Drosophila melanogaster: one gene and its partner. The protein of the gene in region 1 interacts with the protein of each later gene in a pairwise test. Each region holds a gene or a part of one and is shown in the gene's direction. Other genes may lie near its edges. The genes, in order: CG30393 and CG44001.

Region 1 (13,256 bases):
AACTGTCAGAATAAAATGGGAAAAGAGGGATTATAGAAAAAAAACGTGTGGAAAAACTTTAAAACTTGTGTTTTTCATTCACATCTATTCGCAGCTATGTTCCATTCCATATATCTACTTATTTTGCGTCTGTCAAATGGTTCCGGCTCCTCCGTCATGACTAAGTTATGACACCTCGTGTGCTGTTAGTACGCAGGCTTGTCGTCTGTTTCCTGTCATGTCTGCTCAAGTGTTCCGTACTCCGTTCTCCGTTATCCGTATTCCGTATTCCGTATTCAGCTTAAACACGTACTTTAAGTCTGACGTGCATTTATGGATGCAAAACGCTTGCGGGAGCGGCTAAAGATAGCAACTATAATGCTCACCACCTATCTATGTAACCACAGAGAAGTAAAGGGATTTTGAAATCACTCTTGCAAAAGTAGCAATTGTTAGTCAAAACCTGATTTGTTTCTTCAGGCTTAATCAATCAGTTATTTTATAGAATCACTGAACTAAAAGACACTTTAATGCGCTAATAATCCCCAATTCACCTGAGCCAAGCAGTTTAGCTTGCTAATCGATCTTAATTGAATTTAAGACACTTGAAATTGTTGCAAACTTTCTCAACGAGATATCATCTTCAAACTTTCAACCAAGTGCCTTACAGTTCCGAATCGCACTGTAAGTGGGTTGCGATGGCACACAGTGCGTATGTGTAACAATAACGTGACACAAATGTAGAATATAAAGGGAGGAAAAAAACAAACACACACATATGTAATGGCAAAAGTTCGCAGGACTATGTGGCTATGTGAGTGTGTGTGTGCATATGTACATATGCATATGTGTTTTTTGGTCTGGGTATTCATATTCTATGCTGAGTGGCATTTAGTGCCACTGATATCTCCTTAACATCTTCGGGTAACAGCCTTTTAAGATTTCAATAAGGATTGCTGCGCTGCGTGTCCCGGAACGAAACTATAATTTTATGCCGTCTCGTGTATCGTGTGTCCCCAAGATGATGTGCGTGTTCCCAGGTCCCAGGACTCCCTGGCTCCCTGTTGGCCTCCAAACCCATGGCCGCATTGTTAAGATGTGTAATCCCAGTCATCTGGCCCTCGGGCTTTGTTGACTTTCAATTTCGAAATTAATAAATGCTCCTCAGTGGTCTTTGTTGCGCCACTCGGGTCAACTCACCTCCCTTGGAGGCGCTGAAAGTGCGCAATCTGTCCACATCCTCGTCGTCGTCGTTGACGCGCAGGTGATGCATGTTCATGGTGGGCACGTCCAGGAAGGCGTTTGATTTTCTGTGTGCTGAAAGAGATTAATGTGGATTGCATTAGGGATTAGGTTCAACCATTAGGCTAAGCTGCCTAGTTTGAATAATTTACAGATGCTTTAAACTTTAAACTCAAATATACTGATAAATGAAACTTGATTCTTATGATGATGATAAATGCACTTTTAATTGAAAAGCTGCGAAAACAGCGGAAAAGCTACCTTTTACCTGTTAGATACTTTTGACCAAGTCTAGTATACCCTTTTAACTCTACGAGTAAAAAGAATTTGAATATATGAATAAACATTGGCACGCAAAAACCCGAACGTAGATAAATATGCGAGAAACCCTTCGGTTAAACGTGCTGCATTATTGATTCAGTATTCCCTGCTCCAGCTGGCTGACATTTGGACAGCTTTAATGGTTTCCGTTTCCCCATGTCGAGTTGACAGTGAGAAGTGCCACACACGTATGTAGCTCACTTGCTGCCCGGGTAAACTGGGTCAATGGTTAAGTTCATCGAACGCCCACGTTAATTGAATCAACATTAGTGAAAGGTACTTAACAAAGGGACGAATGAAACAACCATATGCTCTGTTTCAGCTTCAACACCTCGCCTTAAGGACCTGCACTGCTGCAGGATGCTCCATGCTCCTTTTGCACACCAGGACCTAATGGTCAATTTTACATTGCCGCCGCTCTCGTGCTGCGAGCAATTTGGCTGAGAGCTTAGTTTATGCCACATAAAAGATCAGGCTTAGCACTTGGCTAATTTGTTGCCGTTGTTTCGCCGCTTTGATGGCTCCATCCGGCCATTAAAAGCCACAACTTTAACTAACTTATGTACAAGTGTGGTCGAAATTCTAGTGAACTGTGCTGCTACTAATGGAAGTGGTTTAAAAGCTTGGGCGAGTAGAGTGATACATTTTAGTTTTAAATTCAAGCTAACAACTAAGTGCTTGTCATTTTTGGTTTTAAGGCATAATAGTAGCTTGAATATCCTAAGTAAGTAATTTGAGGAAGTAATAAGAGGATGAAAAAGTGCTAAAGGAGCATAACTATCAAACTTTTTAAATCTTTTTGAGGTTTGTTTTATACTACTACTACTACTACATTTCAGTGAACCAAGCTAAGCTTCTTATCTACAAAGTTACCAGGTAATCCTATGAACTGCAATGTTATAGTTTACCAGCTTAGCATCAACTGCATTTTCATTTCTTTGGCATTCACTTGGTATCTATTTAATTCACCGCAATTGTAGATGCTCATCTCCGGGCGTAATTTACTCACCGTGCGTCTGTGGCCTCCGCTGCGATAGCTTGCGGCGCTGCGGAGGCGTCTCCGTCTCGCTCAGCCGGGGCTCACTGGTGCAGTAGCTCCGGGTCTCCTGGAGCGTGTGCTGCTGTTGCTGCTGCTGCTGCTGCGCCTTGGTCTTCTGGCGGACCTGCAAGTGGAAAGGAGGAGGAGGCGTGTCTTTAGAGCGGGCAACTATGTATAGCTATGTATAGCTATCTATCAAACGCGGCCCAAGGCAATCGCTGTGATTTATGGACTGCCCTTGCCGATTGACTGAGAAATTAAATTGCATTTCTCACACAAATCAAATTGCATTTGTTTGTCCTTTGGCGTAACAGACGCCCCAGACGCCCATCTCACTTGGCCACCGTCAATGGCATAATTTATCGGCTTGTCCTGGCCCTGGTCCTCGCTAGAAGGGCTCCTGCGCGATCCTCTTTGAGGGGAACTAGAGTAGGGATATCCACCTAAATGTCAAGGTTAAACGCCTCGGCCACTCCAAATGCAATCAGCGCCAATGCTTGTTTCGCCCGCCGCAAAAGTTTCCTGCTCAGGCATTGGCGGGTAGGTTGGAGCAGGAGGACGTGTCCCTGTTCCAAATCCTTCATGCCACGTCCAAGTGCCTGTCAAGCCGCCTCAGCTCTGCGGTGCTCCATTGGAAGCCTGGCTGGCTGCCTGCCTGACTGCTAGCTGACGACGGGGCGAAAACTAATTTCACCACTGTTCCGGCAATGTAAGCTTCTTGTTCAGTTTCTTTGGTCCAGTGTGAGGGCGATATATATTTATAGCTGTGGCCATAGCCGCATGCAAAACGTCCAACTTTGTTAGCCACTTCCGTTTTCCTTGGCCCAAAAATCCAAAAAAAAAAAAACAAAAAAAAACAGGGGCGAGGGCGAACAATATGATTTGGGTGTTGGGGACCAATTAGTTGGCAGTTCGAAGTTATTAAGTTGTGCCGCTTATGTCCTTGATTCTAATTAATGGGTTTGGTTTTGCGGGGAGTATGTTATATATACGTATAGGTATTCAACTTATGGCTTTAAGCCTTTGATACGATTTCTTAATTAAATTTAAAATTATGTTTAAAATTAGGCCTTCTACATGGAACATCTTTAAAATAAATGAAACCAGTTTGCTTTAAAAAAATCTACTATATGTTTGATTGAGTTATGACCGTAAAGGTTTTTGGCCTGAATTTGTTGCTGATCGGGAACCTTAATCCCCTGAAAGCCACGCTGATTCCGCCACTGTTCCCGCACAAGGTTTTCTCATCGCTGGAAAACGGCACGCCGGAAGCGCTTGCTACGTGGCGTCGGCTGTCAAGTGGCCAGGGATTTGGGCCACGTTGAGTTTCTGGTCAGTTGGAGGGACCGGCAAAGCCGCCAAATCCGCAGGAAGTGTGGCCAAGGGGGCGGGGCGGCGGTCATTAGGCGAGCTGTCAGTGTAAACGTTCCTTGTTTATTTAGTGGCCGCTCTTTTGCGCTTTTTATGGCGCACACACACACACATACGAGTTTAGACATATAACTACGAACCGGACTGTATACGTATGTACGCATTTATCCTGGCATTTCATGGGCTCTCGTGACCAGTAATTGCTCTTCTTTTTTCGACAAATGTTTGCATGGTCTACTTTGCCGGCTTAATCAAATATTACGACCATACGGACGGACACCCACATCTGATCCATCCGGATGCAGTGGTCAGATGGTCGATGCTTCTCGCTTCAGAAATTAATTGCTTCCTGGCTTCCCAGTTCATTGACCATGCCATGGTGCTCCGCGGCATGTCCTGCGGCGGAGTCTTCAATTTGTACCCGCTTAATCCCCAATTAGTCCTCTGGGGCAGCGCACATAATTTATTTTCTTAATGCGCCCCGTTTTACGGGCGTCGGGGGATTAAATTAAAATTCGAAATTAATTTCACATTTCCCAGACACATACTATTTGACTTTTAAATTGATAAGACATATGAGTTATTCGTAAGGTTGGCGTCTTTAAATTTAGTGATATCTTACCAAATATATCAATATTTTTCATTTATTTAGTTTTGTAAAATGTACATACATCCTATATTTTTCTTGCAAATTTATTGTGTCACTGCTTAAAGTTTTGATTGCACACAAGGCTGCAATTTCCTTGCCTCCGATGAACTTTTGTGTCGAAAGTCGCAAAATATTTCCCCATTCATGGCTGTCTTATTTATTTGGTTTGGCTATTTGTTGGTTTTTGTCTAGTATTTGCATGGGATATATCTGACTTTGGGCCACAGAATGCCGTGCAAAACGAAAATAGCATTACAATGCGACTTCATCGTGTTGGCTGCTGTTGTGGCATCTTCTCATTAAACTTTTGCGTCTGCAGATGAAAAGTGCTAGCGACTTATCGACATTGGAACATCAAGGCACTGAGCACTTCAAGTTTACTTCCTTGCTGCTTGCCGATTGTATCCTTACTCCCCGCTTCCTTATAACAAAAGTCGTTAAAGCATTCCTAACTCGTTTTTAATACCCTTTACTAACTTGCTTGGCAAAACCAGTACGTGTTTGTAGTACTTACTATTTTAAGCATATAGTTTTTTAACAAAATTTGAAATCTATTTCGTTTAGAGAGGAGTTATGTATATGTGCAATCATACGCCAAAATGTAGGCAATGATTTTTAGAAACCAGGTATTCAATAGTCGGTAGCACCAAGCACTTACTTCTCACTTGCTTAGCTGCGAACTCATTACGGCCACGCCCAGCCAGAACATGCCGCCCCCAAAAAGCGGGAAACCATATGTGTGTGTGTGCGTGTGTCTTGGAAACTTTTTCTATATAAATTACCAGCTCGGGGCGCATCTCAGGCGATGAGAACGACATTTTTAGCACGTTGCATGGTTGTACGGCTGCTTTTTGTTGCCTCGTTTGCTTACTAATAATGTCGCGAGCAGAAGCAGAAAAGCAGGGGATTCACCAGCGAGGGATATTCAGCACCAGAAGCTGCGAACTGGAAGCTACACCCCCCCCCCCCTCACCAAACCAGCCAGGAAAACTCATACGCAGCGTATGCCGCCACGTGGCGAAAGTCTTTTGTGCGAGACAACCATCACATCAGTCCGATGAAATTGAATTTCGCCACGATATAACTCAATTCACACGCCGCACTGCAAGTGCTCCTCCGAATTCAAGGCTCCTCGGACGGCTGGCTGACGGAATCAATTGAATTGGAAACGTCAGCGACTTCAGTTTTTCTCTGTATTATTTCAGTTGCGGTGATGGTAAATACAAATAAATCCAGCTTCCTAAAATAGGCCTTTCCTTTTCAGTCAAGATTCAGTTGAGATTGTCGAATAAGTCGGACGGGTTCGTCGTTATTAGAGAAGGAGGTATATATATACACACTAGTTAATCATGGAAACAACCGCTCAGCTGCAGCAATTGAAACCCCAACAGAGCGTCATGTCGCACGTCACGGTCACCGAGAGTGATGCCGAGTTTGCGATCTTGAATCTGGATTGCAACGAAGGTTTGGAGAGCTCGGTGACCAAGATTCTGGTGGCCATCGAAGAGATGTTCTGCAGTTACTTTGAGGATCTCAAGAAGGAGCTGGAACTGCAGAAGATGGCGGCACTGACCTTGAATCAGCTGACCCAACGTTACAGGATCAACACGAAGGTGGACACGAGCTGCACGTGTCCGCAGATCTATGAGATCGAATCGGATGATGCGATCATTAACAAATACTACATCTACTACCAGGTGATAGCCTGTTCCAACAATAACCAGGGTTGGGTCATCCACAACATGCGCCCCTATGTTCTCCTCTTTCGTCGAGAGTGCGCCAAGTTGAATCTGAACGAGGATAGTCCCTTCATCATGGGTGACGCTTTCCACAAGCCAATCAAGTTCTTCATCGACTTGGTGGAGGAGCTCTTCGCCTACTTCTACAGTGGACACGTACAGTTCGACTGCGCTGCCCACATGTTGGATCCCTTGGACTTGAACAGCATCGAGTACTATCAGAAGCTATTGGAACCCAATGAGGATTTCGCAAATTACTTCAAGTACAACATGAGCTTCTGCAAGTGCCTGCGTATGCCGCGCCGTTGTCCTGCCCACGAGTATCCGCAGGTGAAAGAGGACTTTAACGCCACCTTTGTCAATCAGGCCAAGAAGAAGCGGTGTGCCAGGCGATGCGAAAAGATGGCCGAGGCCGAGAGCAATTTACTGGATCGAAAGAAGTCCATAGTTAGACTCCAACGTCCCAGTGAGATGTCTGGCATAAGCACCGGTCAGGAATTAGACCAGGACAACGAAAGGGAACTGAAGAGGATCTCTAGACACCAACGTCGCAGTGAGAGGTCTATAATAAGTATTACTAAGGAAGATTACCATACTCCTCTGCCCGACAACCGACACGAGCTAACTGTAAAGGATTCAGTAATCAGATGGTCGGTGAACCCACAAATTCTCTGAAAGTATGATAAGTTTTTAAATTTTGTAAGCAGTTACGTTTATTTTATATGAGGTGTATAGAATTTAATAAATTGCCTACTGATTTCCAGTTTGTTAGGATTCATCATCTGGTATAGGGGTATCCATCATCGTCGACTTAAATGTCATTCATCAGAAGTTGTCCTTGTTTTTGCAGGGAAATACACTAAAACACACACAACCGAAAATGGAAATGCGCGATCGGCTGTACCAAATGATGGTGAGCCAGAGCTTTATGTCGAGAGGCACGGTGACCGCGAGCATGGCCAATTTTGCGATTGGAAATCTTAGAAGTTCCGATGCTGTAGAAAAGAGAGTGATCAAAATTCTGCTGGTGATCGAGGAGAAGTATCGGAGTTACTTTGACAGCTATAGGAAGGAGCTAGAGCTCCAGAGGATAGCGGCAGAAACACTGCACCAGCTAATCCAGCGCTACAAGATCACCATGCAGCTGGACACCAGCTGCACATGTCCGCAGATCTATGATATCGAATCGGATGATGCGATCATCAACAAGTTCTACATCCACTATCAGGTGATAGCCAGTTCAAACAAGAATCAGTGTTGGGCCATCCAAAGCCTGCGTCCGTATGTGCTTGTCTTTCGCCGTGAATGTGCCAAGTTGAATAGGAGCGAGGAGAGCCCCTTCATTCTGGGCGATGCCTTCCACAAGCCCATTCAGTTCTTTATCGACCTGGTGGAGGAGCTGTTCGCCTACTTCTACAGTGGACACCTTCAGCTGGATTGCGCGGCGCGTCTGTTGGATCCCTTGGATCTGTACCGAATGGAGTGCTACATGAAGCTATTGGAGCCCAACGAGGACTTTGCCGAATACTTTCTGCACAACATAAGCTTCTGCAAATGCATGCGGCCGCCACCGATGTGTCCGCCGTACGAACACCATCAGAAGATCAAGGATCAGTCCGACGCATATCTCAGTCATGCCAAGAAGAAGCGATGTGCCAGGCGGTTTGAGAGAATGGCCCAAAACGAGGCACAGACTGCGAAGCGGGAAAGCGGCTCAGTGGAACGGAAAATGTCCATTGGCAGCGCGAGGACGACCAGGAGTCTAAGTCGGGAGGCTTCTGTCGTGGAAGAAGCCGTATCCGTATCCAATCAGCAACATGAACGCACCCTAAGGGATCAGCTGATGTGCGCCCTTAGCATTTCCCCCGAAAAAAGGCACGACGCCACCAACCAATGAGGTCAACTCGGATTGTAATCGATCAATTAATTGGGCCAAGTGCACGTGATTGCGTTCTCCGTTTCTCGGAAATGCCGGCGGAAATGTAGTTATACCCAGTTAACTCAATCCCTTCAATATTTGTGGCACGCAAATGGGAGTTGTTTACCAAGTAAACTTCAAAGTGATTATGCACCTCAATTCGGAGATACTTTCAGCTGAGCACACTCGATTAAAAGTGAGCTTAAGTTTTCACTTCAATCAAGTGAGACACTTCAAAATTTGTTGTCAGACGAACCCATTGAAGTTTTTTCAAGTTGGCTTTAAAATTAAAAATGTGATTCGTGATTGAACATTATAATCTGTAAACTGCAAAGCTAACAAACAAATATAATAAATTCAATTCAGAGTAATATTTTTATTGATGCTCTAAGTGCCATTTCATAAAATCAATCAATTATATTTGCGAATCAAATGGTCCTTTTGGGAATTAAAAAACACATTATAATATTGTTGAAATGTCAATCTGCATGTGCGTGACTACCAAATGGGCTAAAAGACGACGTATTTATAGTAAGCAAACGTGCATTTATCTAAAGCTATAAATAAATAAGCAACTTTTGCCAGAGTGACGGGCAGATGCAAATGCTAATGCTAAAAATCTGTACCGCTTGGATGCGTTCCAAGCGCATTACGTATACGCCCCGCGTACTCACCGATCTGGCGCCGGAGGTGATGCGGGCGCTCTGGGAGCGCGTGGCCGGTCGGCGTCGCCGGTACCCGGGAGTACCGCCCTCGGGCGTGGCACTGCCGGAGGCGCCGGGCATTCCATGGATGACCGTCTCGATGCTGGCGCCGGTGGCACAAATGGAGGCGCTGCGCGTCTTCTTTTGCATCCGATGATGCATCGGTGAGATGTCGTCCACCATGGCGACTTCTCTTGATCTCGTTTGGTCCAACTCCTGGGAAATTTCCGTTTGTGTCCGGTGTGTGGTCTGTGGTCTTCGCCGGCAATTTTCCGTAACGAGTTCGGTCAAGTTGCTCTAGGATTTGCTACTTGTGTGCATTAAGCAGTTCGTGCTGTGGCTCTAGTTGCTCTATTTTGCTGCTGTGGATGCTTGGTTGCATAATTCATAATCTGAGTTTTGGTATGGTGTGTGACTTTAGTTTGTTTTATGGTGCACTCTGCAAATAAACCGTGACAAGCAAATGAAACGAATGCACAAAACATTTAAATGAATTGGTTTTTTTTTTTTTAAATAAAATTACACTTTATCTCGAATATTTGCTTCGGTCGTGACGTGACACAGAAATAACCCAAAGAAATACTGTGTATATATATTTTCGAAAAGCAAAAGTGAGCTACGAAAAGCGAATTTCATCTGCGTTCTACAAAATGCTATGTGTAACAACATGCAACATAATTTGCTGTGTGATTTTTCATTTCGCCCCGCAGCCATTAAACATAAAATTCCTCTGTTTGTTTTTCCAATCCCCCACCCCTCTACCACCATTCTGTTCATTCCCCCCTTTCCCCATTCGATTTATTTTTAAACGTGCCTCACGCGTCTCTTGAAAACTGGGTCAGCTTCGGTAGTTGGCCAAAGCCCATTCGCATTTTCAGTGGACACCCCAAAAACGACAAATTGCTACAAACAAATTTGAAATTTATACGAAGGGGCCAAAGCCTTTGGGAATTGTGGTTTCCATCGGAGTTATATAAAGGCTTAGATGACTGTTACTGTGCGTTGGTTATGCAAGCGATTGGGGTTATCCATTCTGATTCTGGTTCATTGATACCGGGTTAGTTGGTTAACTTTTCGTTTTTATATGTCAAAGTTTTTATTTCACTTAGTTTAATCTGTGTGTCAGCAGCCTCCTCGCTACCTTTTCAAAACAATTACTTTGTATCATTTAAATCTAACTTTATAGAAACAACTTTCTTATGCCAAATATTTGTTTCTAAGCCATAGCTTACTTTCCATTTTGTATGGACTACATTTATTGCTAAACCTCTTGATGAATGATTCCCAGAATTTTGCCGAGATTTCTTTCCATTGATTTCATAACAAATCGTTGTTTGGCTTCACTTGATCTTGTCCGTTTATCACGTAATCCCCATTGGTCCAAAAATAAACTCTTCATATTGGCTACAGTTGCTAACCCTTGCATCACATCATCCACATGTCGAACTCTTTCGTATGGTTTCCTATAGACAAAAAAAAAGCATTTCACAATTGAAATGTAAATAAAATGCTGGAAAATGTGGAAAGTTTCGAGTGGCACGGTGTGGAAAATGGTCTTTAAAGAGTTCGCCTAACTTAAATGAGAAACGTAAACTGCAGACTGCGAATTCTAATAGACACTAATTGCCATTTGCAAGGGCAGATTTCCCGAGGCGAAATTAAATCCATTTCTCAACTAGCCCAAAGGCAGGGAAACTCAAATTGAATTTTCCACCGACCGATGAGATGGGCTTTGGAGTGGCGGCTGCGGATGCGGATGCGGATGAGGTTGCGAAGGCAGCCGGCGGGCCAATCAAAACATATTTGTAATCCATTTAGGCATCCTGTTCGCTCCTTAGACATGCATCATTAGCCACTCGACCCGGGGCATCCTATTCCATCCAATTCCATCCATCCATTTGGCTGTCCTCCTCCATTCTCCTCCATTCCACAAATCGAATTACGCTTTCGCTATCTTTTCATCCGCACTTGCACTTAAGTGCATCCAGGACACTTTTCGCACATTGTAGCGAACTTGATGAACTTGCAGTTTTGGCCGCATTCATTCGAGGACTTTAAGGTCCTGCTGCTTGGTAATCAACTTGTGCGAATGATTAAACATAAATAATTAAAAAACGAGCCACGCTTTTTTTCGCGCTTCGAAGAGTAAAAGATTCGGGCCAAGTTCCTAGCCAGTAAATAATGCAAAGGACTCGGGGGAAAAAGGAAGCAGAATAAATACAAAAACTTGAAAACGTCTTTAACGCGACGGCTTATGCGAGAACAGCTTGAGATAAAGAGTCAGCGGCACTGAGAGAAAAAGGTAGCTAAAAGGGGTGCCTTAAAAATGGCCAAATGTAAATGTAAATTCATTCGACTTCCCAAGAAACTAAAAGTGTATGTTATGTGTAAGTGAAAGTGCATTTTATATTGCATATTAAAGCGTTTTTTTTTTTATTTTTATGTATACCTGGGCCAAAAGCAACAAGAAAGCGGCCAAAACCACCCCAGCATTTTGACTTAAGCAGCTTTAAAGGGTTGCGAACAGTTTCTGTGCTGTGAGAATCCAGCGATGCATTACGCAGGACACACTAAAAAAGGGAAAGCGAAATGGGTACGCCGATGATGATTTCAGCTGCTGACCCATCCAGTCGTGCATGAAACTCCAGGCCACATGACGATGAAGTTGTCTTACTCCTCCTCCTCGTCTTCATCTTCGCCGGGGATCCTTTGTCAGCAAATGGAACTGGAAGGCTGCTTGCCTCGTTTGCATTCAATTGATGCCGCTGGCATTTCTGGCTAACAACAGCATTGCGCGTGTGTGTGTGTGATTCCTTCTAATTGGCCGTAGGAAGAGTAGGAGTATGGTGTCACCATGCCAGAACTTTAAAGCTTCACTATTCATTTTCATTTCATTTTTATGCTCACAGACTTTGGCCAGCATTTTCGGGCCATATTAGTGGTGCGTTTGGTGGTCATTTGCCTTTATGGCCCGATATGATGTGGCCAAAATTTCGCTCCCACTCTTATCGGTTGGCCTGTTGCTAGTTATTAACATGAATATTTTCGCTTCAGCGTTTTCTGCGCCCGGCTAATCAGGCCACCCAAATGATGACAGCTGTGCTCGGTTCCAGGCAACGTAGGCTATCACAGAAATAAGCCCAAAAAATGGTTGCTTCGGCCTACCAATATAAACCCTACAAAAAAATAACAACAAAAAATAAAATCCCCGATAAAGTGTCAACAGATAAGGATTATATGGCGCGGAAAGGGGTAGGGTTCTGTTTTTTTAGCCTGGAAAGTAGGTGGTTCAAGGTTGGCAATTCATCTGCCTAAAACAAAGGTGAAACCATCACAAGCATTTAGCTGAAACTGCAAATTTGATTTGATTTAAATGAAAGTTGATTGCGGTCGAGAATAAATTGATTTAAAATTTAGTATGTTCAGCTTAGTATGTTTTATAAATCCACAATCGACATAGATGTGCAGCTAACGTGATTATTTGTGCTGATTCAGGAAATATTCCCCTTTAAAGCACATTAAAGTTCGTATAGAATGCAGTTGCCTATTAGCCAACTAATGCGTACATTTTTTTATCCGCCAGGAAACGCTCGATTTCATCTTGTCCAGCATATGACCTTGAGCCACGCCTCCTTTGTGTGCGAGTTTGTTTGGCGTGCCAGCGGCTTCCTTCAACATGTCCACATCCACATCCACGTCCTTGTCCGATGTCCATGTTGTTATCCGTGTGGCAGTGCAGCTCGTGTCGTTGTCAGTGGATGTTCGCAGCGTTTGTTTAATGTTTCCCTTTGAGCCCCATCTTGCAACAGGGGTATTTGTTTATGCTCATGGCCAGCACCTGTTGCTGCAAAATTAATTTCAATGGGTCACAAAGCGCCGGCTGCTTGTCCCAAAGGAAGGGTGGTGGGATCAGGAGTAGGATTCTCTTCCTATTATTTCTGGCCGCTGATTGGCGACATTAATCCAAAGCTAGTGGCAGCACTTTCTGGCTGAGATCTTGGGCCAAGCTTGAGCATATATAGCTAGCTCACTATTAACATTTTTCGCTGGCAGCTTGTCAACGCAAATGAGCTAAATAAAAACAAAAAGTTTTTATTGCGCATACGCCACGTTGTCGTTGGTCGTTTTAGCTCTAATGGGACAGCATGTTATTAGCAGCGAGCTATTTCATTTGCTCTTTCTGCTCTCAGCTGGGATGAAAACAAATTTGAATGATTAAATAAATTATCCAGCATTTGAATGTGACAGTGTGGACTAAGCGTGCGAAGAATTTTTATGATTCAAAAAATTCAAG
Region 2 (17,476 bases), on another chromosome or scaffold:
GGCTTCCCCGGCGCACCTGGATTGAAGGGAGATACTGGACCGCAGGGCTTTAAGGGCGAACGTGGTCTGAATGGCTTCGAGGGACAAAAGGGAGACAAGGGTGACCGAGGACTCCAAGGACCGTCTGGACTGCCCGGCTTGGTTGGACAGAAGGGAGATACCGGCTACCCTGGCTTAAATGGAAACGATGGACCTGTCGGAGCTCCTGGCGAGCGCGGCTTCACCGGGCCCAAGGGACGCGATGGACGCGACGGAACACCAGGTCTGCCTGGACAGAAGGGTGAACCAGGAATGCTGCCACCACCAGGACCCAAGGGCGAACCTGGTCAGCCGGGACGCAATGGACCTAAGGGAGAGCCCGGACGTCCGGGAGAGCGTGGCTTGATTGGCATCCAGGGTGAGCGTGGCGAAAAGGGTGAGCGCGGCCTGATCGGTGAGACTGGTAACGTGGGACGACCCGGACCCAAGGGAGATCGCGGAGAGCCAGGCGAGAGGGGATATGAGGGCGCCATTGGTTTGATCGGCCAGAAGGGTGAGCCCGGTGCTCCAGCCCCCGCTGCTCTGGACTATCTCACCGGTATCCTGATTACGCGACACAGTCAATCGGAAACGGTGCCCGCTTGCTCGGCTGGACACACGGAACTGTGGACGGGTTACTCCCTGTTGTACGTCGATGGCAATGACTATGCCCACAACCAGGACCTTGGATCCCCCGGATCCTGTGTGCCACGCTTCTCAACGCTGCCCGTACTGTCGTGTGGTCAGAATAACGTCTGCAACTACGCCTCCAGAAATGACAAGACCTTCTGGCTGACAACCAACGCCGCCATTCCGATGATGCCCGTTGAAAACATCGAGATCCGCCAGTACATCTCACGTTGCGTCGTTTGTGAGGCGCCGGCTAATGTGATCGCCGTGCACAGTCAAACGATAGAGGTGCCCGACTGTCCGAATGGCTGGGAGGGTCTCTGGATTGGCTACAGTTTCCTCATGGTGAGTATCGGAACACTTATAACGTTAGATTATAGAAGAATGATGAGAGTTTTCAAAATCCACAAGGGATGCGTTTCCGAAGTTTCCCTAGCTTTCCAGCAGATGGCGCACGTTCCAACGACACTCTTGCGCCATCTGTTGGATACTGCGTAGCGAAAGATTTGATACAATAGTTTTAATTTTCAACCTTTATTCCTAACTACTTGTGGGATTTTAAATAGTTCTTTTATAATGATGCTAATATTAACCCAACCATTTCCTATAATAGCACACTGCCGTGGGCAACGGTGGCGGTGGACAGGCGCTGCAATCGCCTGGCTCCTGTTTGGAGGACTTCCGTGCAACGCCCTTCATCGAGTGCAACGGCGCCAAGGGCACGTGCCACTTCTATGAGACGATGACAAGCTTCTGGATGTACAACCTGGAGTCCTCACAGCCGTTCGAGAGGCCACAGCAGCAGACGATCAAGGCCGGCGAGCGGCAGTCGCATGTGTCCAGGTGCCAGGTGTGCATGAAGAACTCCTCGTAGGACCTCCAATCCCAACACAGACACACCCACAGCACAGAGCATAAGTTTAATCTAAATGTAAAGCCTTAAAATTACCAACGAATCGTGTGCACACCCACACGATCACAACACAAACACAAACAAACAAACCAACACACACACACACATACATACACCGACGAACCAACACTGCTACAAATTCCTTAATCTAACCAAAAAGAAAAAAAAACGGATCCACAAGTCGAAGTGCTAATTACCGACCGACCTGGACCACAATGCCATTTTTTATCTGCCAATTAATGTTCTAAACAAATGTAAACTGCTTCTAAGTTACGTTACGTATGTTAAGTAAATGAAACAAATAAATAAACTAGCCTCGGTCGTATGTCCAAAAGTATAAAATAAACTATGTGCCAGCATGTTCCATTTATTTTTGAAACCGATTAAATGCGAAACAATGCAACAAAACGCGGTATCGAACGAATATCGAACGAATCGAATCCTCAACTGCTATACAAAACTTGTCGCATATCGTTTTAAAATAAACTAAAATTTATAAATACAAATTACGACCACAATTTCATACAAGCCTATTTAGAGCAAATATTGTTGAGGATAAAAAATCGTATGCCCTTCAGTGATAAACTTCCTGCAAGACAAATACTGCATACTTTTTACCCCTAACATTGAGTGATAAGATCTTCCTCAAAAGACCAGGGCTAAGGGTAGGCTATTGTGGTGGAAACCCCGTCGCGGAGAACCCTTAAAAAAGCAATGCCAAGCCAAGGATGAGAGCGAACTCACCTCGTGCACTTGTGCGCATGCCATTGCCTCTCTTTGTGCGGATTTGCGGTGGGGGAGGGGGTTGGTTAGCTGTCAAGGGGGTGGCGATGACGATTGGGGTCGCCGTGGACGGTTTGCGGGGCATAAAGTGGGGTGGACCGAGCCATATGATAATGATATGCAGACACACACACGCGCACAAAGTCCAATTGGTGGTTGGAAGCAGGTCGTGGAAAATAAGGGTAGGCCTTTGTGGGGCGATTCAAGTTGGAATCGTAAAAGTGAGTTGGAAAAAAAGTGCCAGAAGCCAGTGTGACTTGGACGCAAGCGGAGGCGGTCGTCGGTGGGAGTTGTAACTTCAGCCAGATAAGAGGAGCTGCTTTTTGTAGGTGTGGAGGAGCAGCAAGACGGAAAAAATGTGTGTACCTCGAAAAAAAAAACAGTGAAAATTGCGAGCTCTCGTTTGGAAAGCAGCGTGAAATTTGCATAAACTAACAAGACCACAAAGCCAACGGGAAGTGCACCACCAAAATCAGAGACTCCCAAGAAGCAGCAGTCTTCCGCCCCACCAAAAAAAAAAAAAAAAAAAAGGAAGAGGACACACCACCACCCCTACATATTTATGATTATCGTCCTGCTGCTGCTGTTCCAATCGCTGTGCCTCTACTGCCAACGCCTGGTGCTCTACGTCCACGACCGATGCTTCCCGAGGAACGTGCGCCTGCTGCAGGAGGTGGCCGAAACGGTGGGCGATCGTAAGGCGCCACAGCGCCTGGCGGAGCAGCAGCTGGAGCAACAGAAGCGCAGCCAGAAGCGTCGCATCCTCGAACCAATCCTTCCGCTCGTTGGTGGCCTCAATTCCGAGGCCTGTCGATTTTGTGCTCACAGTCCGCAGGGCTACTGTCGCCATCACTTCCATCTGCAGGAGCTGCAGCTGCACAGGCAGAGGGGTTCCGGTGGTGAGCAGGATTTCCGGCAGATTCGCCGAATCAAGCGGGAGCTAAAGCGGACTCTTGGCCAGCAGCAGCAGCAACTGCAACCGACGAGAAGCTATCGTCCAGTCCGACTGAGTGCCAGCTGGAGCAGCAGTTCCCTGAGCAGTGGTTACGCTTCACTGACCAGCGTTGGATCGCAGGAGCAGGAGGAGGCGTCCTTCGATCAGGATATTATTGAGGACGTTCCACTGGAGGAGGAAGCGGAGCTGCAGGACCTGCCGCAGGAGGATATCCAACAGCCCCTACTAACCACTTACTTGTAGATAAACGCCTCTTGGTCTCATCCTTGCATAAAGAATCATCCACTTGGAGTTCGTCTGGAGAACTGAAGAACCCTTCATAAAAACTATGCTATAAAGATGTATTGAAAAAAATTGTATAACATAGTTAACCACCAGAGAAACGAAAGAACAAACAACTACGAGCTAAAGACGCCACCCCTGAAGCCGCTCCTTGAACGATTTCAACAACTTTTGAGACCTGGAGAAGCTCATCAACCCCAGGAAGCCAACCCTATTGAAAACTTAACCCCCCCCCCCCCTCCCAACAGTTCGAAGGGTTCCCTTTGTCAAATTGATACAAATTGAGAAGCGAAAAAATTTCTAGTCGCAACACAATGTCTGATGTTGAAGTGGATCCACAGCAGGCTCACCCCCATCCCATAGCGGCAATTGCCCCGAGGAGACGTCGTCCAACCGGTCGACGAGGAGGAGTAACAGGAGGGTTGTCGTCCGGTTCACTGGATGCATCATCTTCCACATCGCCGCCACCCCGTTTCTGTCCGCTGCCCAATGGCGTTGAGGATAACTGGACGTGGAGCAAGCGGCACCGCTCCAAGGAAGTGGTGCTCAGAGGACCCAACTCGCGGACCGTGCACTTCCATCCCAACTGGAGCAAGGGCACTGCCGGTGTCCAGGGCAAAAGATCCCTGAATAACGGACGGCATTACTGGGAGCTTCATGTCTCGCAGCGCGTCTTTGGCACCTCGATAATGTTCGGTATCGGTACCAAGTCGGCACGGCTACATGCCAACGCCTTCCGGAACATGCTGGGCGAGAACGAACACGGCTGGGGACTGTCCCACAAGGGCGTGCTCTGGCACGAGGGCGTGGCCCTGCTGTACACGAAGCGGTTCCGCGAGAATCAACCCACCCAAATTGGCGTTCTCTTCGATGGCATTGAGGGCACACTCACCTTCTACAAGGATGGCAAGTGCCTGGGCGTTGCTTTCCGCGGATTGGATCAGGTGAGTCCGGTTGAATTGTTCAATCCTCCAAGGATCAGGCTCTAGAATCTCGCCTAACTGCCCAACAGATTGATGAGCCCCTGTACCCCATCGTATGCTCTACTGCCGCCAAAACGGAGATGACCCTAAAGTGCACCAGGAGGGAGTTCGTCAACCTACAGGATCGCTGTCGGGCGGTGATCATGCGCCGCGTACGAAGCGCTGCGCAGCTGGAGAAGCTGAAGCTGCCGCTGCCCATCGCCGACTATCTGAGCGAGGTGATCGACGAGAAGAAGCCACTGCGTCAGGTAGACAACTACGATATACTGTGTGATTTGTAGAGCTCGGATCGTGTCCGGTCAACGTAAGCTAAGTTTATAGAGTACGTCCTCGCCCCCAGGTGAATCAGCTGGAGATGTGCATTATGAATTACGATTTGTATGAGGCCCGTGAATGATTTTAGTGCCATCACATATTGGAGTGCCCAATGACTACCAGACGATGCAGTGGCTCCTCTGGGACGTGTGCATTTCTCGTAGTAGCTTTAGAGCGTGCTAAGTTTAAGCATTCGGAATTTGTGTGGATAATAGTCGTCCGACCTTTTGATTTGTCTTCATTTGTAGCGAAAATGTGGGAAAATAGGCCAATTTGGTGCAATATTTGTGATATAAGAAATGAGAAAAACGTTTTTCGGGGCTTCAAGTGCTTGCTAGAAAATCGCAAAATAATCTAGAGCTAAGCATATTTTTCGGTACAGACGAGTGTGAAATCTAGTCAAAAAGAACACGCTGCTAAACTAATTTTGTAAATTCGCAGACAGCAATTAAGGCCTAAGTACTGTAATGTAACAAAATGAAAATGTGTCTAGTCATAAATTGCATATAAAGCAAAGTGTAATTTAGTAAAAATTATTTAGTACGCTTTATGTAGATTTTTGTTTCTGTTTATATAAATTACTACACATAATGTAATTGATACATGACGAAACAAACGAAATAGTATTGAAAATTAAATTCGTAAGAAGTGCTCAAAAGAATTTGGCGATATTGATTTGCAATTGTCACTTGAATTTACATAAATAAACATAAATTTACTAACTATTTAAACGAAATACAATACTAAGCACAGGTTCACTATAGCACGATGGGGCTTTGAATGGCATCTAGAGCTCGTCGGAGAGATGGTTAATGTTTTGTAAATGGTCGCCGTAGTCGGTGGCCTCACTGCCCACAAAGGTATCGTAGTTGTTGAGTATTTCCAGGTAGGACAGGCGATCGTCGTGATCCTCATCGGTGGAGACAAAGAGATGGTCCACCTCGTCGTTGGCAATTGCCGTATTGCTTGGCACAATCCAGGATAAGACCTCATCGCCCGTCAGCACGCCATCGCCATTGGAGTCGTGATCCTTGTCGAAGCGCTCCTTCTCCGTGATCAGCCACTCCTTGTCGTGGTGCGAGGCTGCGTCGCCGACAAACTCCTGGAAGTTGATCTTGCCATCGTGATCCGCATCTTTGTCCTGCATCGTGTGCTCCAGCAGTATTGGCAACATTTGTGGATGCTCCTCGGGATTTTGGAATAAAACGAATTCCTCCAGCGTCAGCACACCATCCTTGTTCGTGTCGGCCGCATTGAACATCTCCTTGTCCTGCTTGATCATCTTCTGCTCATCCTCGTAGCTGTCGTAGTCGATGGTCTCCTTCTTGAAGTCCTCATCCTCCATGGCGTATGTGTCCTGGAGATACTCCTTCCACGTAATTCTCTCGTCCGCATCCTGGTCTATTTCTTCAAATCGATCAGCGGCTTCTTCCTCCGACAGTTTTCTGCAAGTTGTATTATGTATTTTAGTAAAAGCTTCAAATAGTCTATGCGTTTTCAGTTTAGGCAAGCATTTAGACAAAGCATTAGGTTGCTGAGGTGATTATTGGCTTGGCTAACATTGATGCAGTATTAATCAACAGACAACACTCACTTAAAGGACCTTAATATCCAGGCTTTCAACTCATGCCGGTCAATAAATTCGTCCTTATTCAGATCCATCATTTTGATCAATATCAACAGTCGTCGCTTCGATTCGTCTGGCGAAAGTGAGTCGAATTCCTGAGCCTCTTTCGTGTTGCCTTTTTTGTGGTTAAAGAGTAATAATAGCACACACATACATTAGCATTTAAAACTGAATGGAACATAAAACAGCAGCAATGCCATTGACGTATTGCTTTTAGAAAACAATTTTAATGATTTCACTATAAAACTATACAAACTTATATACTTCAATAATACATTTTCTTACAGCATATTCCAATTCATTAGTAAACTATATTTCGACCTTCAAGCAATATTTTTGAGCATAAATGGGTATGTGTATTGACTGATCCGTATTCTCTTGATGCTTGAATGAGTCTTTCCGTGTGCAGACCCACAAAAATAAACCTCAGGCAAGTAAACAAACATATGGCATACACCATAGCATACACAAAAAAAAAGTATGAGTCCTTTTCATAACTAAAATAATACAAAATTATGGTCAATACTCATAATTTCATTGGGTTGGAAAGTATCCTTAAAATAAACTTTTATATTTCTACAAATTAACAACTGAAACTGGAAATTCTATTGTTGTTCTGGCAAAAAAACGTGATTATATTTTATTTGCTTTTCAGGAAATGAGCACTACTTTTATGACCTTCATTGTAAGGAGTCTTTTTCGCTCTTTTCAAAGTGATTTTCTCAAACTGAATATGATCTGCTTTCTCTGCTAACTAGCGCTGACTCACCGATGATGGCCTCGTGATCGAACTCCACGTTGTGCTCCCCATCCTCGCCGTGGTGGTGGGCATCCCGGGGAGCGTAGATGCCGTCCTTGACCCGCTCCTTGCTAAGGTGCTTCTCGTGCTTGTGACTGTTGGCCACCGCCCCATGGGCGGGCATGGGACCCACGGCGGCCAGCAAGGCGACGGCACAGAGGGTCAGCGGGAGGAGCGGCAGATTCCTAGGCATTTTAATTGATTATGCCAAGCGGCGTGTTCTTTGGTCTTTGTTTTCTCTTTTTTTTTGGCAGCTTCCCGAGTTCTCGAGTGGATGGGGGGGATGATGTTCCGGCGGAGGAGGGAGACCGGATGGACGCACACGTAATGCCCAACAGCACAATGAACTCAGTTCACCTTTCGCCTGCTTCTGAAATATGCAAATGTCAGTAAAAAACCGACAACAAAAAAAAACTATTTTTTGAATTTTAAATAATCACCGACAGCTGTTGTCTTCGCTTGCCTTGCCAATATTTCGCTGACCACAACTGTTTACCTAACCACACAGCCCTTCAGTCACACGTGCATATTATGGGCATGGAAATTAATTTATTTACCTATACATATTAATACATGTTCACATAAAAATTCGTTTATTTATTTGCGTACACCAAAGAAACGAAAATGCAGACAATGTGACCGTCAGCGAAAAATAAATGTTAGCCCATCGATTTTTGGGTTTAGCATCTGTGCAGCCCTGGTGTTTCCACGCCCTACCAACACTGCCCACCTTGCTGTTAACTTTACAGCAGTGTTTGCTACGCGCCAGCCCTGACTTACATTACGAGGAATAAAAGAAAATAAATTGCACAAATTGGCGAAAAGCGCATTATTGCTAAACTAAAGCCTCGTTAATTTAGCAGGTGAGCTCTTAAAGAGAAAAACACCAACACAGTGCTGTGCAGGTTAAAAGCAACAAGGAAAAAAGCTGAAAACATCTAAAAAAAAAGTGGGCGAACGAAGTTGATTAAATTCAAATGACATCATTTTGCGACAGCTGTGTGGCATAAAAATCATTTGGAGCCGCGCGTTTATTTATTTCGAAATTTGATCATAATTCACGTTCATTTTGTGTGCCCCAAACACGCAAAGGACACTTGAGCCCACTGGGTGTGTGCGTGTGCATTTCCAGGACCCCAATTGCCTACGTGTGCGTGTGTGTGTGTGTGCGCGCGCGGCTATGTATGTGTATGTGGGTAGGAGTTGTTGACCGGCTTGGTTAGACTTTTATTTTCATTTTATTAGTATTTTCGTTGGGCGCCGAGCGACAGAAATACTTACTCATTAGTCGACCGGTCGGTCAGGTCAGTAATTATAGTCACTGACTAAAGCTTCACATGCAACTGGTCGCGGGGTGCCACCCCGCCAGCGAGTGCGAGCGAGAGGGCGCATGGCTCAGGGATGTCGCTGGTGGAATTCCAAGGGGGATTGCAATAAGGTAATCCATTTCAAAATTTGCACTCGCACTGTCTGCATGTTTTGAAAGCGTTGATCGAATGGGATTTTGTTTTTAGGAAAGTTAGCATTTCTGAGGCTAAATTCAATTCATTTTGTTTATAATAATATATATAAATAAGTTTTGAGCTAGGAAAGAATGTCCAGTAATATCTGGTTCTAGAATGTCCCCTGAACCATATAGCCATCTAGGTATATGTTCCGCCTTGGCCACTGGGTTGGGTCATATCGTACATATATCGGTCGAGTGATTATCCTGGCCAGAGTGCGTCACTTTGTCATTTGGGTATCTGCCACCTTACGCCGCAGGCTAATCCAATAAAAAAAATAGCTGCTAACCATTTCAGAGAGCAGCGCTGCGCGACGCCCAAAAGCGAAATAAAAATACGAAACCAAACCAAACAAAATAGCCAAAGCAGTAGAGCTGAGCTAGCGCTGGGAAAACCTCTTGGTCAACAACGTGTTACCCGATTTCGGTTTCAGTCGAGAGTCAGCCTTCAGCAGAGCGCCACAGCGAGCATTAGCTGCCTCACGGTTTCGTATCTCATTTGGTTTTCACTTACGTTTCACGGCTTTCGTTGGCACGCCCGCGCTAATTAATCCGCAGATATATTCAGCAGTAATCGGGCCAAATGCCGTACATAATCATACGGGGGAATCTAGCCTCCTACAGCCACAAATATCCATGGAGGGTGCTCGTCTCCGGGTTGAAAGGTAAAGCCTGAACCGCGTAGATACAGTATCTCTTTTTTTTTTGGTTTCGTTTCGCTTTTATTTGTAGTGTGTTTACCATTGCGACACACACAATTCATTTCGAGAGCTTGGCAAACAGATACGAACACACGATAGATTTCTGAACGCTCTTTTCGGTTTTTCCACTTTGCACCACAAAAAAAAAAAAAAAAAAAACAAATTTTTGAATGGTTAGACAGTGGCTGTATAAATATTATATACATATATTATTTTCAAACTATTGTTTCAATATCTAGCATGTATTTTGCTCAAGCTTGGAAACATGACCAAATGCACGCCTATTTGATGTCATAATAATACAATGTAATGTTTTAAAACTTTATCTAGTTATATTCTTTAAAATACTGAAAGCATCTTGAAAATCCAATCCTATACTTATTTTTTGACATTCAAATTCTACTCCCATTTTGAATTGTAAAGTTACAGTAAATCTCACTGAAACAATAATAAAAAAAAAATAAATAAAAAAATCTACGGCAAGCTATTTTTATTTGCTGGTTACCCAATAACCATTAGCGCTGTGCCGTAGTTATTTTCCTCATAAAATCAACAGCTGCCCTTTAATTGCACTCCATTTGCCCCTGGAAATCCGCCTGCCCGCACCATTCCGCTTTTTTCGACCGCCACTGTGCGAAGTTTGGTGCCCGCAGACGAGGTCTTCAGTTCGCCAGTTTGGGTTTGTTTTTCGCTCCGTGCAGTTCGCCTGGCAGAGCGGCCTGTCGTGCTTATATTTGTAGATATCTATATATACAGCCGTACGTAGTGCCACATATATGCACTCGATTCCGGTGCATATTTCTGGAAGTAGTATCTGTGCGGCGCAGAAGTCAATGCACTGGGATCGTCTAGGGACAAAGAAAATACGATACTCCCGAGATACTCCCATTTTACGTTTATTATGAAACAGCAGTCAATATTTCTTTCGCCATTTCGCTTAATTAGCACACTCACATTGAAAGACAATTGCCCTGGGCTGACGTCACTTTTCGACACAGCCGAGTTTATCTTTTGTTTGCACTGTTTAAACATTAGCGAAAAGGAAAGCGATTTTATCAAAAGTAGCACCCATGATAACCATTGCCCATTCTTCCAGCTGACGACATCGAGCAGTTGAACAAGTTCTCCTGCGGCGGCTACAGCGACGAGTCCACCATCGTCTACTTAGTGCATCCTTGTCGGATTTTATCGGCGCTAGAAGTGAGTACACCTTCCAGATCCCATACCGACCTACTCAGAATGATATTTTCTTATAGACACACATTTCGCTATCTAATGAGACAGCAGTTATTTTATCAACTTAAACAATTCGCCGAGCAGGCACTGATTAATTATTTTAGTAAAACTTTCAACCCCACTTCCCTTCCTATTGAACTTTCAATTATCCAGTGACTCATCGATTTCTGCATTTTTCCTTCTAGATCCTGGGATTTCGCGTAGTGGCCAGCTCATCGACTGCCGTGAAGCAGGACTACAACGAGTACATGTGGACGATGCGCAAGGAGTTCGACGAACCAGAACCCTTGGAAGCCGAGTCCGTGGTGCGAGAAAATCTATCGAATATTGGCCGCGAGGCAGCCAGTTTAGGCAACTATCACAAGGTGGATTCGCCTGAATAGACCCGCATCCCATCCAGTCCAAAACAAACAAAAAAAAAAAGAGCAGCAATCAACCAAGAACTCTACTCTAGTTGTATAATTTAGTGTGTGTGTGTGTGAATTGTGTGCGTGTTTCGGTGTGAAAAAAGAAAAAAAAAAAATTATAGTAACCTAGGGAATTTTGTTCCATAACATACACTGAGCAAAGGAGGCGACCAAGCGAGTCCCTTCAGACGAACGAACTATGAGTGAGGGCGCAGTCGGGCTGAAGGAACCTCAGAATCTCAATAGCGAAGTTGTTTCGACTGTCGTGTCCGCGGCATCGGCTGCATCCTTGAACGCCGCCACCGCCAACGTACCGGCCAATGTGGTGACCATACCGGTGCCCATTCTGCAGTCGGAGGGCAACTTTGCCTACGTGACCGTCAAGGGCTCGCTGCACGATTACACCTGCACCATTTTTGGCCTGAATCAAGCGGAAGTTCAAGCCCTGTCCAAGCGCTTCGAGAGCGGTGTTAAGGCGTGCGTCAATGGTATTATGGTGGCAGTGCCGCCCATGGTTATGCTGAACACTCTCGCCCAGCTAAGCTACAAGGTTGTCTGCAGTTGCGGCGAAGCCGAAATTTGTTGGACCATGCAGCGTGAGGTCTAATTCGTTTGATGAGATCACACTGTTATAGCGTCAAAGATCAGGCAACTGGCAGCGAAAGCAAAAGAAGCGGAAAAGGAATTCGGAATTCGGAATTGTAGAGAATATCTCGAAATAATCGGCAAGCTAAGATGGATCCACATAGTGCGGACAACTGCAAGTGCCACAAGCAGACGCAGCCGGCACAGCAGACGTTAAGCGACATGGACTTCGATCGAGGCATTTGGAATGCAGGTAAGAAATACAGCCGTGAATCTTATGGTTATTATCGTCCTTGACCAACTCTTTAATTTTGTATAGCTATCTATAACGAAGTGGAGCGTGTAAGAGAGTTTATCAAGAAGGGCCAGTCGATGGCTCGCGATGACTGCGACTATACGGCTCTGCACTATGCGGCCCGCAATGGGAACGAGCCCATCTGCAAGCTGCTTCTCGACGAGGGCAAGGCAGACGTGAATGCTGTGACCAAAGCAGGAGCCACCGCGCTGCATCGTGCAGCCATGATGGGTAACAACCATTGCAAATCGCAGTTATGATCAATCAATACTACGAGTTTTAATCTGACGGCAGGCCACTTGGAAATCGTGAAGCTACTGGTCGAGCACAAGGCTAATCTTCTGCTGCAGGACGAGAGCGGACAGACCGCTTTGCATCGAGCAGTGATGCGGGGCCACCTGGAGGTGTGTCGCATTCTGCTGGCAAAGGAGCCAACACTTAAGCTGGTCAAGGATAAAAAGGACAAAATTGCATTTGAGTACATCATGGAGAACGCCAATGATGATTTTAAGCTGCTGCTGAAGCCCTAAAGGGCTTGTCATTCCCCGTTCAACATATTCGTATTCGTTACGGTTTAAATATCTTTGTTTATTGAGTCTGTTAACACGTTTTCTATAAAATTGCACCCGATATCGTTGTAAAATCCTACTTAGAAATTGCATACGTCCTTATTTGTTTGCATTGTGTGCGAGATCGATTGTATATGGGAAAAGTAATCTTAACGTTTGCGTAGTCAAATTAACATAGTGGATACATACATCGTTTAAATCTTCTATATAGACTATATACACATGCCTAGTAAACATAAAATGTGCAAGTAATTTAGTGAAAACTCTGTGCCCAACAGGATGTGCACACGGAACTCGTTTTGAAAAATGCGAGATTTGCGTGAAAATTCTGTTCAAAATTTGTAATACATCGTAAGAAAATTAATATCACATTGGAGTCCGTGTATCGAAGTTGTTAATTAATCTGGCGTTGAAATTGAAATTAAGGAAACTATTGCAGAACCTTCCTACACACTCGTCGCCAATTTACAAAAACTATACGCTACCTATCATTATAGCAAACATATAAAACCTATATAATCTGAAAATAAAATTCCTAAAGCGCAATCAATCCCAAGACTCAGTCCATTTAACAACAGGTATATCGACCGGCTCCATACCCCTCACCGGCGGCAGTTCGTCAAAGTCGCTGAGGTAACGCTTCAAGGTGGCGGGTATGGCGAACTCATCCACAATCCTCCCCAGCGATGACCGCTCCTGAGTGGGAAGATACCTTTCCTGCACCTCCGGCCGCGTTTGCAGGCATCTCAGGAGACTCCGACGAATCTCCAGGCGAGCGAGAGACTGCAAGGAGCGTGGCTGGGTGCCAAGCAAACACATTTCCCGCTCGAATTCCAGCCGCGCTGGTGGCCAGTCCTTGGGCAGGGGTCGGTGCTTGTGCGGAAACTGAAAGCCAGCGTTGCCTATGGACAATAGGAAATGAAAATAACTACCATGTACTTCATAGGAACTAAGATCAGAGTAAGCAACTTACATAGCAACCTGGCAAAGGCCAATCGTGTTGGTGTGCAATTCGATCTGAGCTCATTCACCACATGTTCCCGGCAAATCTGCGCCAGATTGCAGCCCTCGTGGATGAGGAATTCGGCCACCTCCAGGCGGTGCAGGTTGATGGCCCTGGACAACGGAGTGTGACAATAAATCAGGCCACAAACGATTGTCGGAGCACACGAGTCATAGAAATCATTACGAGCGCTGGGCGATTTGGCAAGCAATACACGCAGTATGCGGCTAAACTCCTTAACCCAAAAATTCTGCTGCACGGCAAACAGAACCAAGCCCTCATCGTGGACATCCGAGTAGAGTCCGAGCTTGCGCTGTTCCTCAGCCACGTTCAGCAGATACTCAAGCATTTCGTGACGCCCCCGATGGATGGCCAGCATGATGGGTGTGAAGTTTTTGAGATTCCATACGGACAAACTCTCGCCGTACTGCAGTAGAAGCTCCACCAGTTCCTTGACATTGGACTCAACGGCGAGATGCAGCAGGTGTTGGGAGGCCAGGCGCCGTGCTCCGCGCTCTAAGAGCAACTTGGCCATCTGGGTGTGACGACCCCTCACCGCGTACTGCAAGGCCGTGTGATTCTGCTTGTCCTGGATATTGATGCGAGCACCACGCTTCACCAGCTCTTCAGCTACGTCCAACATGCTGCAGGCAATGGCCGCCATCAGTGGTGTCTCGCCATCATCATCCGTGTCATTGATGTTGATGTTCGTTTGAAGCAGTAGACGGGCAGATTCCGCACACTTGCTTTCGATGGCCATATGAAGCGCCGTCTTGCCATCACTCAGGGTTTTGGCATTCACCAAGGCTCCGTGCTTGATCAGTAGCTCGGTGACACCGGCGAAACCGGCACCCAGATGGAGTGGCGCGTATCCATCGTTATTGAGGACATTGATAGGTGCGTTGTGTTCCAACAGGATGCGCACACACTCCTCGTGACCCCAGTAGGCGGCGTAGTGCAGCGGAGTGGCCACATCGGCATCGTAGAGATGCGGATCATGTTCGCGACAGGAGACACAGCACTGGGATGATATGAACTCTCCGGTGGTTTCGAAGGTTTTCGCATAATACTGATACAATTGGCTATCCTCTTCGCCGCTGCCCGCTCCATTCTCCGCACTATTCTCGAACTCATCCACCCACTCCAGTTTCTCCATACCCTCGGGCGTCCGCTCGATCTCGAGGCTATCCGTGTTCGCTGCAATTCAAAACCAACGTGAAACGTTCTAAGAAAGCAGTTTTTGAAAATCTTTTTGCTAAGACAGTATGAAGTACAGGTTTCAGGTTTGACAAGATTTTCGTTACTTGCCACATAGAACTAGCCGTGTCTACTGTGTCTGGTTGCAGTTGGAACCCATTGTCGAGCATTGTTATCAGCCGGTTAACTGGCCAACCGATAACCGGTTTTCCGGCCTTCACTTACTTTTCTCTGTGCTTGCATTATGTTGGATAGACCCGAAAAGAGAAAAGAATGCACAACAAGAAATTGAGTACGTACAAAATTAACCGACTAAAATTGGATCATTCAACTTAGTGGGAGTATTAAAATTATAATAAATTCTGTATAGTATTATATATACTCCAAAAGTGAACAAACGAACTGGCACTTCATTTAAAATTTTCTTGTATCTAACTAATTCGTTTCCTGGATCCATTGATTATTATTATTATTATTTATGTTTATGTTTTACCTTTGAACAATATACATACACATTATCTAGCTTACCCACAGCATTTTTTTTTCTAATGTTCTCTATGTGTTTGTTTTTAATGCAATTAAATTTTCCGAAAGTTAGTTTCGTTTGTTTTCAGAACGAACCAGTGGAAGGAAAACTCACACTGATGAAAGACATTCAGCTCGGGCTCCTCGCAGGATTGAAGCAGCAGCTCCAACAGTTCGGCATCGCCCAGAATGGCCGCCGTGCCCACGGCAGTGCGTCCGCAAGTGGGCGATACATACGAGGCCTGGGCACCTTGCATGATGCAGCCCAGAGCCTGCTCGAAATCTCCGCTCTGTACGGCGGTTAGCAGGCGTTCGTTGAGGTCGTAGGACAGCATTTTGCCATCGGGTTAGTAATTTAGTTAGTTAGGCTAACTGAAGCTGGTTAGCGAAAAGGCGAAGCGAAAAGAACAAACCAAATGATAAGCAGCTGCTTGTGGGGTGGTGTGAAAAGTGCGTCGATGTCGTCAGTGGCAGCAACACTCCCCCGGAAAGTCTCATCGAGAAGTGAAACCAAACATCCGGCGTGCGCAGAAGCAGTACCAATTTTTGGCTGCATAGCGGGTGGTGGTTTTCTTTTTTTGGGGCGGTTTGAATTGGCCATTCTATTGAGCAAATGGAGAGTACAATAAAGAAGAAATCAGCTGGCAGTTCGCTTCCAAGCCCACTCATCGCTTGTTTGGTTTATTTTCGACGTCTGTGTGTGCAGTTGCTATGTTTGTGGGTAGTGAATGTTGTTGCCTCAGCTTAAAAAACGCTTAACATTAGCTAATCTATTTGGTTTCCTTTGCTTCCTTGGCAATTTGCAGCGATTCCGTGATGAAGAGTTTGGCCAGCGATTGCGAACAGAATTGTGCGATATGCTGGGCGTGGGTATTGATCTGGCCAGAGGTTATGGTGGCCGTCAGGCGGTTGGGCGCAGTCATGGGGCGGAACTGTTTGATCACTTCCTCCTCTGGCACCGTGGGCTCTCCCTTCGATGTGCGAACGGCGTTCTCGGCGGCCAGCTTAGCCAGAGCACGGTGCTTCTCCTAAAAAATATAAATGCAAGGAAAGCGATTAGGAATTTTTACATATTTAATTATATTGCTACGTACCGTATCCTGCTTGAAGACCACCTGCTGGTACTTGTTATAGCGCACTGCCTCCTGGTACAACTCGTCGACGCGCTCGATCAGGCTACGCATTTGGTTCTCCAATACGGTGGCGGTGCCCAGGTCCAGGAAGTTGTGCCCCTTGTCCTCGGGCAGCAGCTCGTTCAGCTCGCTCATCATAATGTTGGTCAGCGGCGAGTTCTTGATCACAATGGGAATCTCGGCGAAGAGGTTCTCGTAGCCGACCTTCAGGGTGCGGAATGCCTCTGGAGTGAAGTCGCCATCCTTGTACATCTGAATGGCCTGCGGAGTAAGGCGGTAGGCCTTCAAGCACAGGAATCCGCGGGATGACTTCTGCGTATCGTAGACGACAACGACGGACTCTTCAATGCTGGTCTGGTAGTGGTACTGCGATTCCAACAGAGCCATTGACAGGCTGTTGCCCACGTCGGAGCTCTGGTACCAGCCCACATGGAGATGATCTACGTTGACGCGACGCAGGCGACGCATCACGGTCAGCTGGTACATCTCCTCGTCCATGGTCTCATCGCCGCTCTTGGGAAACGGGAAGCAGTTGGTGATCTCCAGGCACTTGTCTACCACCAGACCGAGCAGGGCGCCCTGGGCGAGGTCCATGTTGCTCGACTCCTCATGGCAGTGCTTCACCATCTTCATGACGGCCTGCAAGGTAAAGTGATCGTAGTAATTATGTTCCAAAATCAATTAGCGACAGACAACTATTTGCATTTGAACAGGGGCGTGGAAAGTAGATATATTTCGGACTTTCTTTTAATAGTTTCTCTGAAGAAAACATTTGACTGAAGTTTTTTGTGCTATGGTAATGAAGAGACCGGCCCCCTTTTCCTTATAGCTCTACGCCCATGTCCTCACGAACACCCATACAAACACACACAAAGCACGCAAATTTCTGAGACAGCGCGTGGCATTAACTTTTCCGGCTTTCGCGCCGGTTCCCACGGGCCAATCTCGGCCAGGTCTTTTGGCCAACAGCACTACTCACCAGTCCGTCGCATTGGACGTAGTTAATGGTATTATCC

What was found.
Region 2: the proteins of CG30393 (region 1) and CG44001 interact in a two-hybrid assay, tested with the Drosophila melanogaster proteins (one large-scale study listed by BioGRID).

Annotation. Positions count from the first base shown.
Region 1 is NT_033778.4:21,260,210-21,273,465, reverse strand, and holds CG30393 (uncharacterized protein), read left to right. Parts: upstream 1-5,886; 5' UTR 5,887-5,950; coding exon 5,951-7,015; 3' UTR 7,016-7,102; downstream 7,103-13,256. Other genes in the region: CG30391 (uncharacterized protein), read left to right, coding at 7,221-8,237; Rgk3 (Rad, Gem/Kir family member 3), read right to left, coding at 1,180-1,296, 2,552-2,705, 8,933-9,145.
Region 2 is NT_033779.5:5,035,216-5,052,691, forward strand, and holds CG44001 (uncharacterized protein), read left to right. Parts: upstream 1-8,054; 5' UTR 8,055-8,168; intron 8,169-8,586; exon of another isoform or gene 8,587-8,793; intron 8,794-9,091; exon of another isoform or gene 9,092-9,392; coding exon of another isoform or gene 9,393-9,474; exon of another isoform or gene 9,475-9,497; intron 9,498-10,181; exon of another isoform or gene 10,182-10,268; intron 10,269-10,606; coding exon of another isoform or gene 10,607-10,710; intron 10,711-10,931; coding exon of another isoform or gene 10,932-11,129; 5' UTR 11,130-11,352; coding exon of another isoform or gene 11,353-11,760; 5' UTR 11,761-11,888; coding exon 11,889-11,991; intron 11,992-12,057; coding exon 12,058-12,264; intron 12,265-12,327; coding exon 12,328-12,563; 3' UTR 12,564-13,148; downstream 13,149-17,476. Other genes in the region: Col4a1 (collagen type IV alpha 1), read left to right, coding at 1-993, 1,262-1,522; CG14042 (uncharacterized protein), read left to right, coding at 2,907-3,542; SP555, read left to right, coding at 3,896-4,525, 4,594-4,812, 4,905-4,961; CG31650 (uncharacterized protein), read right to left, coding at 5,667-6,324, 6,474-6,621, 7,276-7,498; CG33995 (uncharacterized protein), read left to right, coding at 9,393-9,474, 10,607-10,710, 10,932-11,129; CG44000 (uncharacterized protein), read left to right, coding at 11,353-11,760; CG9121 (uncharacterized protein), read right to left, coding at 13,149-13,504, 13,576-14,802, 15,443-15,662; eIF3h (eukaryotic translation initiation factor 3 subunit h), read right to left, coding at 16,098-16,355, 16,422-17,099, 17,440-17,476.